Sus scrofa: one gene and its partners. The protein of the gene in region 1 interacts with the protein of each later gene in a pairwise test. Links are inferred from orthologs where the notes say so. Each region holds a gene or a part of one and is shown in the gene's direction. Other genes may lie near its edges.

What was found. The genes of interacting proteins can lie anywhere in the genome.
Region 2: the proteins of ubiquitin-conjugating enzyme E2 E1 (region 1) and ZNRF2 interact in a two-hybrid assay, tested with the Homo sapiens proteins (2 studies listed by BioGRID). The link is inferred for Sus scrofa from reciprocal best matches to the Homo sapiens genes UBE2E1 and ZNRF2.
Region 3: the proteins of ubiquitin-conjugating enzyme E2 E1 (region 1) and RNF25 interact in binary tests that used the Homo sapiens proteins (3 or more experiments, as listed by UniProt). The link is inferred for Sus scrofa from reciprocal best matches to the Homo sapiens genes UBE2E1 and RNF25.

What each region holds. Positions count from the first base shown.
Region 1 is NC_010455.5:10,680,883-10,685,895, forward strand, and holds the end of ubiquitin-conjugating enzyme E2 E1, read left to right. Parts: intron 1-1,000; coding exon 1,001-1,148; intron 1,149-2,142; coding exon 2,143-2,240; 3' UTR 2,241-2,937; downstream 2,938-5,013. UniProt on the Homo sapiens protein: Accepts ubiquitin from the E1 complex and catalyzes its covalent attachment to other proteins. Catalyzes the covalent attachment of ISG15 to other proteins. Mediates the selective degradation of short-lived and abnormal proteins.
Region 2 is NC_010460.4:42,560,436-42,566,206, reverse strand, and holds part of ZNRF2 (E3 ubiquitin-protein ligase ZNRF2), read left to right. Parts: intron 1-3,354; coding exon 3,355-3,460; intron 3,461-5,771. UniProt on the Homo sapiens protein: E3 ubiquitin-protein ligase that plays a role in the establishment and maintenance of neuronal transmission and plasticity. Ubiquitinates the Na(+)/K(+) ATPase alpha-1 subunit/ATP1A1 and thereby influences its endocytosis and/or degradation.
Region 3 is NC_010457.5:120,713,279-120,718,065, reverse strand, and holds part of RNF25 (E3 ubiquitin-protein ligase RNF25), read left to right. Parts: intron 1-1,347; coding exon 1,348-1,422; intron 1,423-1,661; coding exon 1,662-1,764; intron 1,765-1,856; coding exon 1,857-1,924; intron 1,925-2,028; coding exon 2,029-2,098; intron 2,099-3,819; coding exon 3,820-3,891; intron 3,892-3,973; coding exon 3,974-4,117; intron 4,118-4,474; coding exon 4,475-4,567; intron 4,568-4,787. UniProt on the Homo sapiens protein: E3 ubiquitin-protein ligase that plays a key role in the RNF14-RNF25 translation quality control pathway, a pathway that takes place when a ribosome has stalled during translation, and which promotes ubiquitination and degradation of translation factors on stalled ribosomes.

The sequences.
Region 1 (5,013 bases):
ATGTTTTAGGTTACTTTTACTTTGGAATGATTCAGTGTATCACAAATAACAGTTGGAAGACCATACGAAATAACCCAGGCTCATGTGCCTTTATGTTGATTTGCCCATTGCTGTCTGTGGTCCTTACCATTTCTGGTTCCTCACCTGTGGAGATGCCAGTAGAGTGAATTCTGTGCTTTGAGTCAGGCAAGATAGCTGCATGGTCTGATTTAAAGGTGAGAAAAAGAAGAAACACCTCTTCAAGTGGATATTTCAGCTTTTAGGGTATGTGATCATTGTTTGCTAAGCACTTTGTCTTTATGGACCCACTGGTTGTTCTTCTTTTGGATTATGACTTTAAAGCTTGCTTTGGAGCCATGTAGTACTACCAGCTAACACTAGAGGTCAGCAAACAATTAGCTATTCAAACTGGAAGCATTAGGAAGATATTTAAAACATTAAAACCGCTAAAGATGAAATCCAGAAATACTGAAGTTACCTTGCCTTTTGTTGATGGATATTATTTTTAAATGAAATTGAAAATCCCTGAGAGTGTTATCAATGCACACTTGGTAATCTCAATTTTAATAGTCTCTGTTGTGGCTCAGCAGAAACAAACCCTGCTAGTATCCATAAGGATGCAGGTTCAATCTCTGGCCTTGCTTTAGTGGGCCAGGGATCCGGCATTGCCTCGAGCTGTAGCTCTCAAGACATGGCTCAGATCCCACGTTGCTGTGGCTGTGGTGTAGGCAGTGGCCACAGCTCTGATTCAACCCCTAGCCTGAGAACTTCCATATGCCACGCAGGTGCAGCCCTAAAAAGAAAAAAAAGGAAAAAAGTCTCTAACTTGTTTCTTATCAGCCTTAATTAGTTAAACTGTTAACTGTGTTTACTTTTTTAAAAATTAAGCGTGTATTTCTTTAGAAGTTTTAATCAGGGCAATTTAAACTGAAAAGGTAATTTAGTAAAAAGTTACGTTGCTGGCTGTTTAAATTTTATTTAACAGTGCCTTATATTTTAGGTTACATTTCGGACAAGAATCTATCACTGTAATATTAACAGTCAAGGAGTTATTTGCTTGGACATATTGAAAGATAATTGGAGCCCAGCCCTCACCATCTCTAAAGTTCTTCTTTCTATCTGCTCACTTCTTACAGACTGTAATCCTGGTAAGGTTAATAATTCTTTACCTTATTTTACTCCTCCTCAAGAAAAAGTTCAGATTTTATTTTTGTACAAGCTTTCAAAGGACAAAACCTGGTTGGTTTTCAAAGGAATGTGTAATCCAGAGTTCAGTCTAAGCTGAGGACTTAATATAAGACCTATAATGTTAGGTTTTAACATTTTCAGTCTTTCACTCTCCTCCCCCCTCTTTTGCCTGTTTCCCAAAGAGTTCTCTTAAAACAACCGCATACTTGGAAATGTTGAGTTACCTGCCCCAGTAGCCTCACCACTGCCTGTGAGTCGATAGCTGCTCACTAAAGTGGCGGTCAGTTCTGAGATTTTTTCTCTGCTATAAACTTAGACAGTGGGAGGTGGGGGCGGGGGGCAGAGTGGCAGGGAGGCTTAATTTCCTCTTACTAAAACTTTTTCCCCTAGATAAACCAAATATAAATTATTAAAATTCTGTTGAGTTTCAGAGAAATACTAAACTTAGTGAAAGTTTGGCCCTTTCTAGGCAAATAGCATAGAGGTAACTAGTGTTGTATTGCAATAGCCTTGAGGACATCGCAGTATTCAGTGTCATAATTGATGCCATTCGCAAAAGGTCACGTGAATACAGCTGATGTTCACCGTAGTCTAGGGCCTCGAACATTCCGTACCCTAACATGTAAGAGCAAAACCCTCCAGTGTGGGGGTGCGGGTTGGGGAATCATTGTTGGACACGAAATGGAGTGAGGAAGGAGATGAACCCAGACCAGTGCTGAAGCGTGTACACTCTGTTTGGATTAGGATAGCCCCCTGCACACATGCTGGGCTTTTTTGTGTGCTTTTTTCTCCCCACATGCTGGTTTTTAAAGTCTAGAAGGAAAACTATCCAGAATGGAGTGGTTTGATCACAACTGCTTTTACATTTCTTCCCGAGCATGTCGCTAACTTATTTGCTAAAACTTAAAGTGTTCTTGCTCTTTCTTCAAAGTAATCTACATTCTTTTCTTCCAGCCGACCCCTTGGTGGGAAGTATTGCCACTCAGTATATGACCAACAGAGCAGAACATGACAGAATGGCCAGACAGTGGACCAAGAGATACGCTACATAAATTGGGTTTTCACAATTCTTTACATTATTTGTCTGTCACAGAGAGCTGCTTATGATTTTGAAGGGGTGGGGGAGGGTGGGAGTTGGTAAAGAGTAGGGTATTTCTATAACAGATATTATTCAGTTTTATTTCCTAAGATTTTGTTGTAACTTAAGGTATCTTGCTACAGTAGACAGAATTGGTAATAGCAACTTTTAAAACTGTCATTAGTTCTGCAATATTAGCTGAAATGCAATACAGAGAATAGATATTTGGGTTCAGTTGCTTGTAGTCTGTAAATTTAAAAACAGCTTAATTTTTTACAGGTTACACACACAGGGCCATTTATGTAAAGTCCTTCAAGACTACACACGTTTTTGTTTAAAAAAAATTGGAATCTGTTTTCCCTTCTTGTAAGGGAACGTTGATATTTAACAGCTTTTAGAGACTGTCATCTCATATATAGAAAATGGACGTGTAACTCTAAGACACCACGTAGGAAATGAGTAGTTATATATTTTATTTTATATGCCAATCTACTTTATTGTGAAAAGGTAGAGGTTTGAATCAGGACCTGTAAAACCTGTAGTAAAATACCTTAAGCTGTTAACTGTAAGGCGTGGACTAGGAGTTGCCCAGTGGATTGGTTATATGTTGTGGACTACTTAAGTCTGCATTTGTTACTGTGCTAATAAACAATATTAAAACGACCACCTAACACTGTCTTCTTTTACTTTCTATTTCTTACTTTGTACTTTCTTTTTCTTTTTTTTTTTTTTTTTTTTTTTTTTTTTGCTTTTTATGGCCACATCTGCAACACATGGAAGTTACCAGGTTAGGGGTCAAATCAGAGCTATAGCGCCATCCTGCACCACAGCCACAGCAAGGCCAGATCCAAGCTGCATCTTCAACCTACCGCAGCTCACTGCAATGCCGGATCCTTAACCCACTGAGCAAGGCCAGGGATGGAACCTGCATCCTCATGGATACTAGTCGGGTCCGTTATCACTGCACCACAACGGGAACTCCTGTAGTTTTTCTTCTTGATAGGTCTTTGCTACTAAAGCAATAGAGAGGTAATGCAGACTGAATACTCTGGTACTGTTTATCCAGCACCTGTGTTAGGATTGGTACTCTTAGTTTATCCAGTAGCCCTGCAGGGTAGATTTTGAGGTGTCTTAGAAGAAGTTTAATAATCTAACTCACTGTCTTTCAAGACAGAGTTCTATTGCATCTTTTTAAAAGCATTTTCCAGTGTGCAGATGCTGTGGTGGTAGTACACAGGAAGTGAGTTCTCTTGGAGAAGTACTACAGCCCCATCAGAGGGCATTCAGGCAGTAGCTCCATGTATATGCCTGTCCACTCACCCCAGGCCAGTGTGAGGGTGCATACACATTCACTGAGCATTTAAAAAGAATATGGGAGGAGTTGCCGTCATGGTGCAGCAGAAACGAATCCGACCAGGAACCGTGAGGTTGCAGGTTAGATCCCTGGCCTTGCTCAGTGGGTTAAGGATCTGGCCATGAGGTGAGCTGTGGTGTAGGTCACAGACGTGACTCGGGTCTGGCCTTGCTGTGGCTGTGGTGTAGGCTGGCAGCTTGTAGCTCTGATGAGACTCCTACCTGGGAACCTCCATATGATGCCGGTGCAGCCCTAAAAAGCAAAAAAATAGAATATGGGCATTCCCGTCGTGGCTCAGTGGAAATGAATCTGACTAGCATCTGTGAGGACACAACTTCGATCCCTGGCCTCACTCACTGGGTTAAGGACCCAGTGTTCCATGAGCTGTGGTGTAGGTTGAAGACCTGGCTCAGATCTGGCGTTGCTGTCGCTGTGGTGTAGGTCACAGATGTGGCTTGGATCTGGTGTTGCTGTGACTGGTGGCTACAGCTCCAATTTGACCCCTAGCCTGGAAACCTCCATATGCTTCAGGTGGGGCCCTAAAATTAATTAATAAAAAGAATATGGTCTAGGCTGCATTCAGTAGAGGAGCAGACTGCAAGATCTAGTCTATTATTTTTATAATTGTAAAACTATCCATGTTAAAAACCTAAAAGATAAATACTCAGTAACTGGGTGAAAGCAGGGGATGACTTAACCATATCTTCTGAGTGACTTTTTTTTTTTTTAACTAAAAAATGTACCTGTGATGAGAAATTTTATTTTGTGGTCACACCCTCGGCATGGGGATGTTCTTAGGCCAGGGATCAAACCCAAGCCACTGCAGTAACACCACCAGATCCTTAACCAGCTGAGCCACAAGAGAAACAAATTTTAAATTACTATAAATCAACTAGTACTGCCACTATGTAAGTTTTATATCTTTTATATGCAAGTGGTTCTTGGCTTGAACTCACTGAACTGAGCCAATTGAGTTTAAATTTACTGAACCTTGCCATAAAAAGTATTTGAGATACTACTATTTACCAGATTTTTTTTAACCTTTCTTGGTGGGACAGTTTATCTCATATTTTATATTTAAAACCAATAGTTAACTGCTTCCACAGTTGAAACTGCTAAGTAGCTTGCATCCTACTTTTAAAATTAGTTAAAACATTATCAACCTGCTAAATACAGTTAGCCCATTACTCAAATCCTGCCAAAATCTTCAGAGAACCGTAGCACAAACTCAGATATCTAACCTGAAAATTTTTCCAGGAGTTCTCTGTGGTACAGCAGGTTAAGGATCCAGTGTTGTCACTGCTACAGTGCAAGTTCGATCACTGGCCCAGGAATTTGCACATGCTTCAGACACAGGCAGGAAAAAAAATCTTCCAGAAGGTGTTAGTATGTC
Region 2 (5,771 bases), on another chromosome or scaffold:
TATAATATGTTAACATTAGCTTTTAATTTTCTGAGCAGAGGTCATTTCATTAGAAGCTATTTAAATTGGATATTAGGCTGCTTCTATATTGAAATTAATGTGTTCGGAATGTTCTTGAATATATGTATATGTATACCTTTCTAAATATAGAAAATATAGTTCAGCTTAGTTTTCATTACTTGGGCTTAGGAACCTTCTGATAAAAATGACTGACTTTGGAGTTCCCATTGTGGCTCAGTGAAAATGAATCTGATTAGTATCCATGAGGATGCAAGTTCGATACCCGGCCTCACTTAGTGGATTAGGGATCTGGCATTGCCGTAGCTGTGGTGTAGGTCGCAGACGGGGCTCAGATCCCATGTGGCTGTGGCTGTGGTACAGGCCAGCGACTATGGTTCTGATTCTGCCTCTAGCCTGGGAACTTCCAAATGCCAAGGGTGCGGCCCTAAAAAGACCAAAAAAGGGAAAAAGAAAAAAAAAAAAAAAAAAAAGACTTTAATACGGCATTCTAGATTAAACTAAAAAGGTTTTTTTAAACTTAGTAACTGAGAAGCATATCATTATATTCTTAAAATACAAGCTATTCTGATGATTTTATGCAGATTGGATTTGTCTTTGTTACGCTGTAAATTAATTAATTCTCATAAACTGGATAAAACCAAGGCTTTTTAAGATACTAAAAATTCCCAACTCAAAGATTTTTAAAACAAACCTCTTGCAATAAAGAAACAAGAGTTGATAGTCATAGGTCAACATAAAAGTATTATAAGACACTTATTTTTCTGTGAATGAATGAATTCAGAAGCTTGTAGTATGTAATAGATTTCTACCTATTTGTGTATGGTTGAGGCTCTGTTACATAGACTTGTATGGCAAAAATGTGGCAGTACTTTGTATTTTTTGAAAGCTGGTCTGTCTCACTGATTTATGATAATTGAGGTTTTATGGTTCATTTAGATTTAAATCTATATGCATTGTTAATGTATTCCAAGAGGAAGAAAATTTGATACCCTCTCCCATCAATTCTAGGACATACTTCTTTTTAAAAATTTTTAATAGCTATAGAAAGTGAGATATCTTAAAATTGATTTATATATGGAAGCCTTTTTTCTGGGAATATTAAACTAGTGGTGCATCTTATTATCATTTATGTCTTAGACTTGATAAAAAGTAATGGTTAATTTTTTAAAGTTAGTTGTAAGACTTAGATTCGTATTATGATGTTGGATATCGTTGTGGTGAAAAAACGTAAGTGGTGAGAATATGCCATATTATTTGGAATTAGAGACTTGTACTGTGGTGTTTTAGTGTTTGCTTCAGACTTTTGTTTTCATTGCTGTTATCCTAATGTCAAATGACAAAACCTAAAAAAATTTAAGTTTGATGCCCTTTATTCAGGAGAAAACAGTCCATAGATTGGAAGACTACAGTGCTCAGCAAGCACTTCTCCAGGGGATTTTGGGCAAGAGTGAATTTTATGGGACCTTAGACGAGGCACCACAGAAACAGGACATGATTGGCCAGAAGAATAGGGGTTTCCTTCTAAGGCTTAGCAGGTCCTGTTTTGGGGGGCAAGGTAAAGCTAGCCAAAGCTGAGTTGGAGCATCGTGAATGGTGTTAAGTTTCCTCGACAGTGAGGTGTTCTCCGTAAGTGCAGGGTGACTGTGCTACAGATTTGTGATGTGGTCGGGGCCACTGGAATGACTCCCGTTTTGTGGGTTCCAGTGTACCAGTTAATTTCAGCACTAGTTAGGTGTGTTACCTTAAACTAGTTCCCCATCTGTGGAAAGCTATCCAGAACAGTAATAGAAAAATGTAGGTCAAAAGAAGGAGGAAAGTTGCAGTTGGGGCAGGGGTAGTGGTTGGGATCTCCAGGATCCAGAAAAGAAAAATGGGGAAAGGACTTTTGAGGGGGTGTTAATTAATAAAGAGCACTTTTCACTTATCCAGTTATACTTGCCCAGAAATCTTTTTCTGGATAAGTCTGATGTGATATATTAGTTTGTGAGCTACCCAGTAGTTAGCTAAAATCACTTTAACCATATTCCCCAGATCTGAAAGCATAAACCTTCTTGCCGAGGCCTCTCTTTTTCCGGTGAAAGTTGCTCTGGTACCCCCTCTAGCCTTATGGGTAAACATCTGCTGATACTTTCCCTTTTATAGACCAAATAGAGTCTGTGTTTCCTCTTAATGTGCTGTCTCAAAATGAATAGAATGGACTTTCTACAAGGAACTATTACAGATATGTGCACGATGAAATTTGTTGGTTTTAGCAGCAGGTGTGGAACCACCAGACAAATAATTTTAGGAAACTTTCCTACCTTGATCTGTGTTTTAAGTATTTAGATAAAGATTGATTTAGTCTTTCTCCTTAGCTTGTTTGATTTTTCACTTCCCAAAACAGTAACATGTCTATTTGTGGTATAAATTTATATTGCATGTTCCTGCTTTTGTTTTTCATTCTCACAACTCATCGAGACTGTATACTGTCGAGCAGTTTCTCCATGCTCTACAGTAACGGCATTGTTTTAGTTATTCCTCATTTAAAAAGAGTCACAAAGCTTACTCTGTTGTTACACAAGATCCTTTTAAAAATTAAAATTTAACATTAATAAAACAATTTAAAATTTCGGTGTAAAACATAAATTGAGAGAACTTTTTTTCGAAAGGAATCTTTGCTTTATAAGGAATTTCACAACAGTTATTTTAAACACTTTGTTCAGGGCCTTCTGAAAATAAGTCTCGTGAGTACGTGGATTAGGCTTGGCATTGTCATGGAAAAGGATTAAGGAGAATTGTTCAGTCCACTGTCTGGAATCCTCAACTTTCCAAAAGTCCCTTTCAGAATCTACATAAAAGCTTTGAGCTACTTTTGCATTTTCTTGAATTAAGCAGATTTTTTTAAAGTTTAATATTCGGGGTGATTTCTATAACTTACATGATTTTATTTTAGAATTTTAAAAATTCATGATAGTATTGTTTTTTTCTGCCGTGTTCTATTTTATACACTTTTTTGAACTAGCTTGGGCACCAAATTAATACTGATTAGTAGGATAAGGAAAATAAATTACAAATAACTGACTTACCAATAAAGTTTGATAGCAAAGTCCTTTGCAAGTAGGAGGATTCTGTGCACTTCTTCCTTACTGTAATGCCTCAGGGAAATTTAAACGGAAGTGAAAGACACTGTCCATAATAAAGGTAAATATTAGTCGTTGATTATGAGTAGTTTATCAGTTGTAGGTGCTGAGTTCTATGTATTTTAACAGAATATACCAGTTACCCCTTTTTATAAATTACCATCCACATAATTCTTTCAGTTCTATTACCCTAAATTCTTTTCTCTTTTCTCAGAGGATGTACTGAGTAAAGATGCTGGGGAATGTTCAATATGCCTTGAAGAGTTGCAGCAGGGAGATACGATAGCACGACTGCCTTGTCTATGCATATATCATAAAGGGTAAGTTTAATTTTATGGTAATAACCAAGTTGATCTTAGACTAAAAGACCTAAGTTTCAGACATTGTAGCTAGGGCTCAAAAGGTTTTTTTTTTTCCCTTAATTTAAACTCTCTTTCCCCATTTCTTAAAGAATAATGGCCTTTTTTCCTTATAGTACTACAGTTTAAGCCCGCATCTGTTTGGATCCTAAAGTCTATCATTTATTCAGCATTTACTCTGATCCAGGTGTTGTCCATCACTTCTTAAATAGGTTATTTTATGTAAGCCTCATAACAGTCTGACTTCACAGTTGAAGGAATAAGCTGGGGGACCGACCATAGGCAACATCTGCAAGGTTACATGGTTAATAGTAAATGGAAGAACTGGGATTCCAGCCGTGTCTCTTTGACTCCAGAGCCCATCTGGTTCTTATAAAGTGTTGTTGGTTGCAGAACAACATGGAAAAAACTTAGGTAAAAAGATGATTTAAGGTAACGTACAAAAAGAATGGAAAACTATAACTTTAAAGTCAAGAAAAGGAAGAAGGTGGAATTTTGTTTAAAAGCAGGGCATGGAGATTGGGGCAGACATAAAGAAAACAGTAAACAGTACCAAGAAACAAAGAGGCAAAAGTAAATTCAGTATCGGCAGTTAGAATAAATCCAAACTCACCACTTGAAAACAAAAGATTGGGATGTGCTATTGATGAGCAACACACTTAAACATAAGGGATATAGAGAAATAAGGAAACAAAAGGATAGAAAACTATATCCAGGCAAATATTAACTAAAAACTGACAAAGCAAATTAATATTGGACAAAACTAACTCTATTGTAAAAGGTATTATTGGTACAATATGGTGATAAAAGCTTATAAAATGTAGTTCTTTGTGTACCAAATAACACAATCTCAAAGTAAAATATTTATGGAACTGTCAGAAAAAAATTGAATCTGTCATGATGATGGGAAATGTCAGCATATTTCTCATTGAGTCAATCAGACGTACGCAAAATTAGTTAAGACCTAGGAAAATTGCTCAATACAGTTAACAGTTTGGATCTAATGGATGTGTATGTGTGTACATGCACCCAGCAACTAGAGAGTCCATTTTCTTTTCAAGTACATAGAAAGTATTATAGAAATTGATCATGTACTTGGCAATAAAGAGTTTTAGCAGGAGTTCCCATCGTGGTTCAGTGAAAATGAATCTGACTAGGAACCATGAGGTTGCAGGTTCGATCCTTGGCCTTGCTCAGTGGATTAAGGATCTGGCATTGCTGTGAGCTGTGCTGTAGGTCGCAGACGTGGCTCTGATCAGGCATTGCTGTGTCTGTGGTGTAGGCCGGCAGCTGTAGCTCCAATTCGACCCCTGGCCTGGGAACCTCTATATGCCGCGGGTGTGGCCCTGAAAAGACAAAACAAAAACAGAAACAAACTAATTAAAAACAGGCCTACAGATGACAGTTTGACAGCAAGTTCTACCAGATACGCAAATAATACCATGTTGACGATCATAAATTCCCCCCAAAGTAGAAGATAAAAGATTCTCCCACTTATTTTATAGACTAGCATAAACTTGATACCCATATCAGACAAGGATAGTGTTAAGAAAAGAAAATTAAAAGACACTTTATTTGTGAACATAAACACAAAATCCAAAAACATATTGGCAAACCAAATTCATCAGTATATATTTAAAAGAATGCCTCTTGACCAAATTGGATTTATGCTAGGAATACGAAGACATTGTAAGAATAGAAAATTTAAGCAACATCTTCTCAGATCCACCTCTTAGAGTATTGACAATAAAAACAAAAATAAGCAAATGGGACCTAATCAAACTTCAAAGTTTCTGCACAGCAAAGGAAACCCTAAACAACACGAAAAGACAACCCACAGAATGGGAGAAAATCTTTGCAAGTGAATCGACTGACAAGGAATTAATCTCCAAAATTTATGAACACCTTCTGCAGCTCAACAACAAAAAAACAAACAACCCCATCAAAAAATGGGCAGAAGATCTAAACAGACAGTTCTCCAAAGAAGACATACAGATGGCAGAGAAACACATGAAAAGATGTTCAACATCACTCATTAGTAGAGAAATGCAAATCAAAACCACTCTGAGGTACCACCTTACACCAGCCAGAATGGCCATCACCCAAAAGTCTACAAACAATAAGTGCTGGAGAGGGTGTGGAGAAAAAGGAACCCTAGTACACTGTTGGTGGGATTGTAAATTGGTGCAATCACTGTGGAAAGCAGTATGCAGATTCCTCAGAAAACTAAAAATAGAACTACCATTTGACACAGCCATCCCCCTCCTGGGCA
Region 3 (4,787 bases), on another chromosome or scaffold:
CATGTCATCCAGAACCAGTCCACTGTTACCTGTGTTATATATATGTTATGTTTTGAGTATCTGCCTAAGACTTAAAAAGACTTTAAAAGATTTTGAGAAATACCATCTACATATGTATGTATATACACACACACACATATATATATAGACACACACATACGTATACATATGTATATATGTCCATTCTTGGTGAAGAAGAGACAGTATAAGAAAGCAAACCAAGGGTTCCCTGGTGGCCCAGTGGGTTAAGGCTCTGGCTTTATCACTGCTGTGGCACGGGTTGCTGCTCTGGTGTGAGTTTGATCCCTGGCACAGGCCAAAAAAAGAATGCAAACCAAGTATATATTTTCCATGTATTCTGTAGGTAGAGCTGTTGCCTCAAGCCAGTCACTTATCTTCAATGTCATTACAACTTGTTTCTGTGATTAAACATTTGTGACCTCTGATTTACATCAGGACCACTGGATCCTGACCTGGACAGGTTGATCGAGATCAATCAGACAGCAGGGATCGTAAATACATCAAATATTAACTACATCCTCTCTTTCCTTTTAAGGGAGAAAGTTATATATAAATAGGGGGAAAAACAGGACATAGATTAGTTACTATGGCCAAGATACTATTTTACTTTACGTAAACCAATCACCTTTCATCACAATAACCCTGGAGAGTAGGTGGTGATATCTGTATGTGGTGGACAGGGTAGTTCAGGCTTACAGGTATAAATAACTACTCAGATCACGTAGCTGGCAAGTGATTGGTACCTATTACTGATTCCAAGACTGATGGCTTTTCCGCTAGAGCACAGCCTTTATACCACATAGCTCTGTTCTGTTCAGGTGGGTCTCTCCTTTGAGGAGGTTAATGGTGACTGGTATTGGCAGTGTGCATAGATAGACACTGGGATCCATGAACAGCAGCGTAGGGAAGGCCAGGTATTAGTAGCCTTAATTCTCATCAATGGACATCATATTTTTGAGTTAGAGAACTGACCCCAAAGGAACAACCCACAGTGTGATGAAACCTAAACAGGGAGTCGAGAAACCTAGGCCCGGTCCCAGTTCTGCCTTTGTTAAGACTGGAGATCTGGGCTAGTCATTTCACCCTCTTGGGACTCTGTTTCGTCATCTGTTGGCAGAAATGATCTCCAAAACTCTGATTCCCATGCTTCCTACCTGGCCATTTGACAGCTTAAGGAAACGTTTCCCCCATCTGTCTTTATGGAGGTTAACAAGAGAGTGCACTCAGGCCGATTGCCATTTTTCTGCAGAGCCAGTCTTCAGTGGCCTTGGTGGGGTTTAACAGGGAGAGCTGTCATGGTGAGTCAGTCTCCCCCTGTCTCTCTAGGGTCCTTCCCTCTGAAGTTGAAGTGTTAGAGTCAATCTACCTGGATGAACTACAGGTGGTTAAAGGAAATAGCAGGTATGTATTTAACTAGAGGTGGGCAGGAGTCCCCTTGGGAAGGAGAGGACTCCATGAAGTATCTGAGTGCCTGGATTCAGATATTTCTGTCATGTAGACAAAGACTATTCCTTTAATGCCCCCCAAGAAAGAGCCCGATGCTTACTTCCTCTGGCCGCTTTCCTTTCTCACCACCATCCTCCCCAGCCCTCAAGCCCCTGCCCAGTCACATCCCAGGTCTCCACTCCATCCACCTGCAGATCGTCACCGTGGGAGATCTCCATCACCCTGCACCCCGCCACTGCCGAAGACCAGGATTCGCAGTATGTCTGCTTCACTCTGGTGCTTCAGGTTCCAGCACAGGTGAGGCCTCGACTTTATGGCAACAATGGGAGGCAGGGGAGAGGCCCCAGGGTGAAGTGCTTTGGCAGTAACTTGTCACTTTCTCCTCTTAGTATCCCCATGAGGTGCCACAGATCTCTATCCGTAACCCCCGAGGACTCTCAGATGAACAGATCCACAAGTAGGTCGGGCTGGTCAGCGCAGGGGAAGCTTGGGATACAGCCCAGTCTGGTGAGGGCAGGCGGCAGGCCTAATGTTTGCGTTGCTGTCTCTCTCTCTCTCCAGGATCTCACAGGCGCTGAGCCATGTGGCTGAGGCTGGACTGGGTACGGCCATGCTCTATGAGCTCATCGAGGTGAGAAGTGTGTTAGAAAAAGTCCTTCCCTTCCAGCGAGAGCAGTTTCTTTCAAGGGAGACCATGGGCCTGGACTCCACCACATCTGGAGACATTCATTTAATTATTGTTTAGGTAAAGCCTCAACTGATCCAGAGACATGAAATGCTCTTCTGTTACAAAAAGTCTCCCCGAAAGACAGTTCTTTCGCTTTGCCAAGTTAACTATTCCAGCATCTTTTTGAAGTTTTAGTGAAATATAGTTGGTTTACAGGGTTGTGATAACTTTTGCTGTATATTCCAGCATCTTGACAGAAAATTACTTCTCCTCTTTGACTTGCATCTTTTCTTGCTGCAGTGTCAGTGCATTTCTTGTTCTCTTGGCGTTGGCAGCTGAAAGTAGTAAGAGATCTTGCCTAGAGCTTCTAGCCATAAGTGAACACTTGACCTTGGTTCAGCTGGACCTTGGCTACAGGGTCTAGCCGTAAATGAACATTTGGAGGCTAGTTGGCCATTGGCCAACTAGAAGGTCTTGGTTCTTTTACTCAGAGAACCCTAGTGAAGGAAACGACCCACAGGAAACCATACCTAGAGCTCTGAGTTAAAATACACAGGTAACGTTGGTTGTTTGAGATCAGAAAATACAAATACAGTCTTGTTTTCCTCTGCGTTTTTGAGAAGATATGCAGAAAAGAATGAAGGTGGGCGGCCTGGAGTCCAAGTGGGCAAAGACCACTGTAGCGCTTCTGAGTCAGGCCTCCACAATGCAGCTTTGAACTTGGTGGAATTCCAGAGTATTAGCTATTCAAACAGTATCGCAGATGCATATTTCATAGCTCAGCCCAATGCCTTGTGAATTCTCTGTCCGTTTGGGGTGTCAGTGCCTTCACTTTCTTTCTGAAAGCTGACTCCAGAGCAGGGGGATAACCCGGAAAGTCCTCCCAGAGGATATGAGTTTTATTTGAACATTTTTTTTTCTCTCTAAGGTGTTGTATTTCCATCCCCAAGATGTATAAACGGTGACTTAATGAGTAGGAAAACAATGAAACTGGATTTTGCAGCTGGGCAGATTTGGGGGGAGGGCGAGGATGTGGAAGAGGATTAATTCCAAGCAGAGGGAGATCACCAAGACAGAAATAGGAGTTCCTATCGTGGCTCAGTGGTTAAAGAACCCAGCTAGGATCCATGAGGATGCCAGTTCGATGCCTGGCTTCGCTCAGTGGGTTAAGGATCTGGCATTGCCATGAGCTGTGGTGTAGGCCGGTAACTACAGCTCCAATTGGACCCTTGCCTGGGAACCTCCATGTGCCAACGGGTTCAGCCCTTAAAAAAAAAAAGAAAGAAAGAAAGAAAGAAAAATCAAAACAGAAATGCATGAACACGGGGAGTTCCCATTGTGGCTCAGCCTGTTAAGAACCCAACTAGTATCCATGAGGATGCAGGTTTGATTCCTGGCCTCGCTCAGTAGGTTAAGGATCCGGTGTTGCTGTGTAGGTTGCAGATGCAGCTCAGATCCTTTTTTGCTGTGGCTGTGGTGTAGGCCGGCAGCTGCGGCTCTGATTTGACCCCTAGCCCAGGAACTTCCATGTGCCGCAGTTGCGGCCCTAAAGAAAAAGAATCGTGTGAACGTGAGATAAATTGGCTTGGTGGGAACAGTCCAGCAGGTCACTGCTGGGAGAATGAGCTTTGCTCATAGTTCTGGCTGCCGCCTCCCTGTTTAAACAGTGTCTTCTCTCCCCGCAGAAAGGGAAGGAAATCCTTACAGATAACAACATCCCCCACGGCCAGTGCGTCATCTGCCTCTATGGTTTCCAGGTGGGTTTCTCTCTTGGGACCTGGGGTCTGCTCAGGCCAGTGGAGGGCTCGGGAGAGCTCTGATGCAGTGCCCTCCCTCCAGGAGAAGGAAGCCTTTACCAAAACACCCTGTTACCACTACTTCCACTGCCACTGCCTGGCCCGGTACATCCAGCACATGGAGCACGAGCTGCAGGCCCAGGGACGGGAACAGGAACAGCAACGGCAGCACGCCGCAGCTAAACAGGTCGACCCCGCCGCCCCTTGCTGGCTTGATACGGCCAGCTCGCCTAACCTTTTCTATCCTTCCACTGCCAGGCCTTCTCAGCCTTTTCAGGGTCCTGGGTATCTTGGAGATTAATGAAAGCTCCCCTCTGTCCTGGAACAAGGGCATCCTTATGTGCATGTAACAGTATTGCACGTGGTTTCAGAAGGTTTCCAGACCTCCAGTAGGCAGCCTCTGCTCTGGCCCACCTCACTACCATCAGGTGTGGCTGTGCCATTCTGTCCCAGCTCTCTGTAGGTGAGGCTGGCGGATAGGGTTGGGCAGCTGACAAGTGCCCTGGGCTGGGAAGCAGGCCTGTGATTTCTCCTCTCTTTTCAGAAGGCCGTGGGTGTGCAGTGCCCAGTGTGCAGAGAGCCGCTCGTGTACGATCTCGCCTCACTGAAAGCAGCCCCCGAACCCCAACAGCCCATGGTAAGGAAACCCTCTTAATCTCAGCCAAGAGTAATGGCATCTTGTCTGCTTCGAATAAGATGTCTGGTATTGGGCCCAAGCTACCTGGGCCCTCTCTGCAGAGCCACGGCCCCCACTCGGTGCACACAGCTTTGTTCAGGAGCCCAGTTCTGAGGGATAAAACCAAGAACCTTGAGCCCATCTCCTGAGGCAGTCCTGGAAGAGCAAAGGTTTCAGGTCT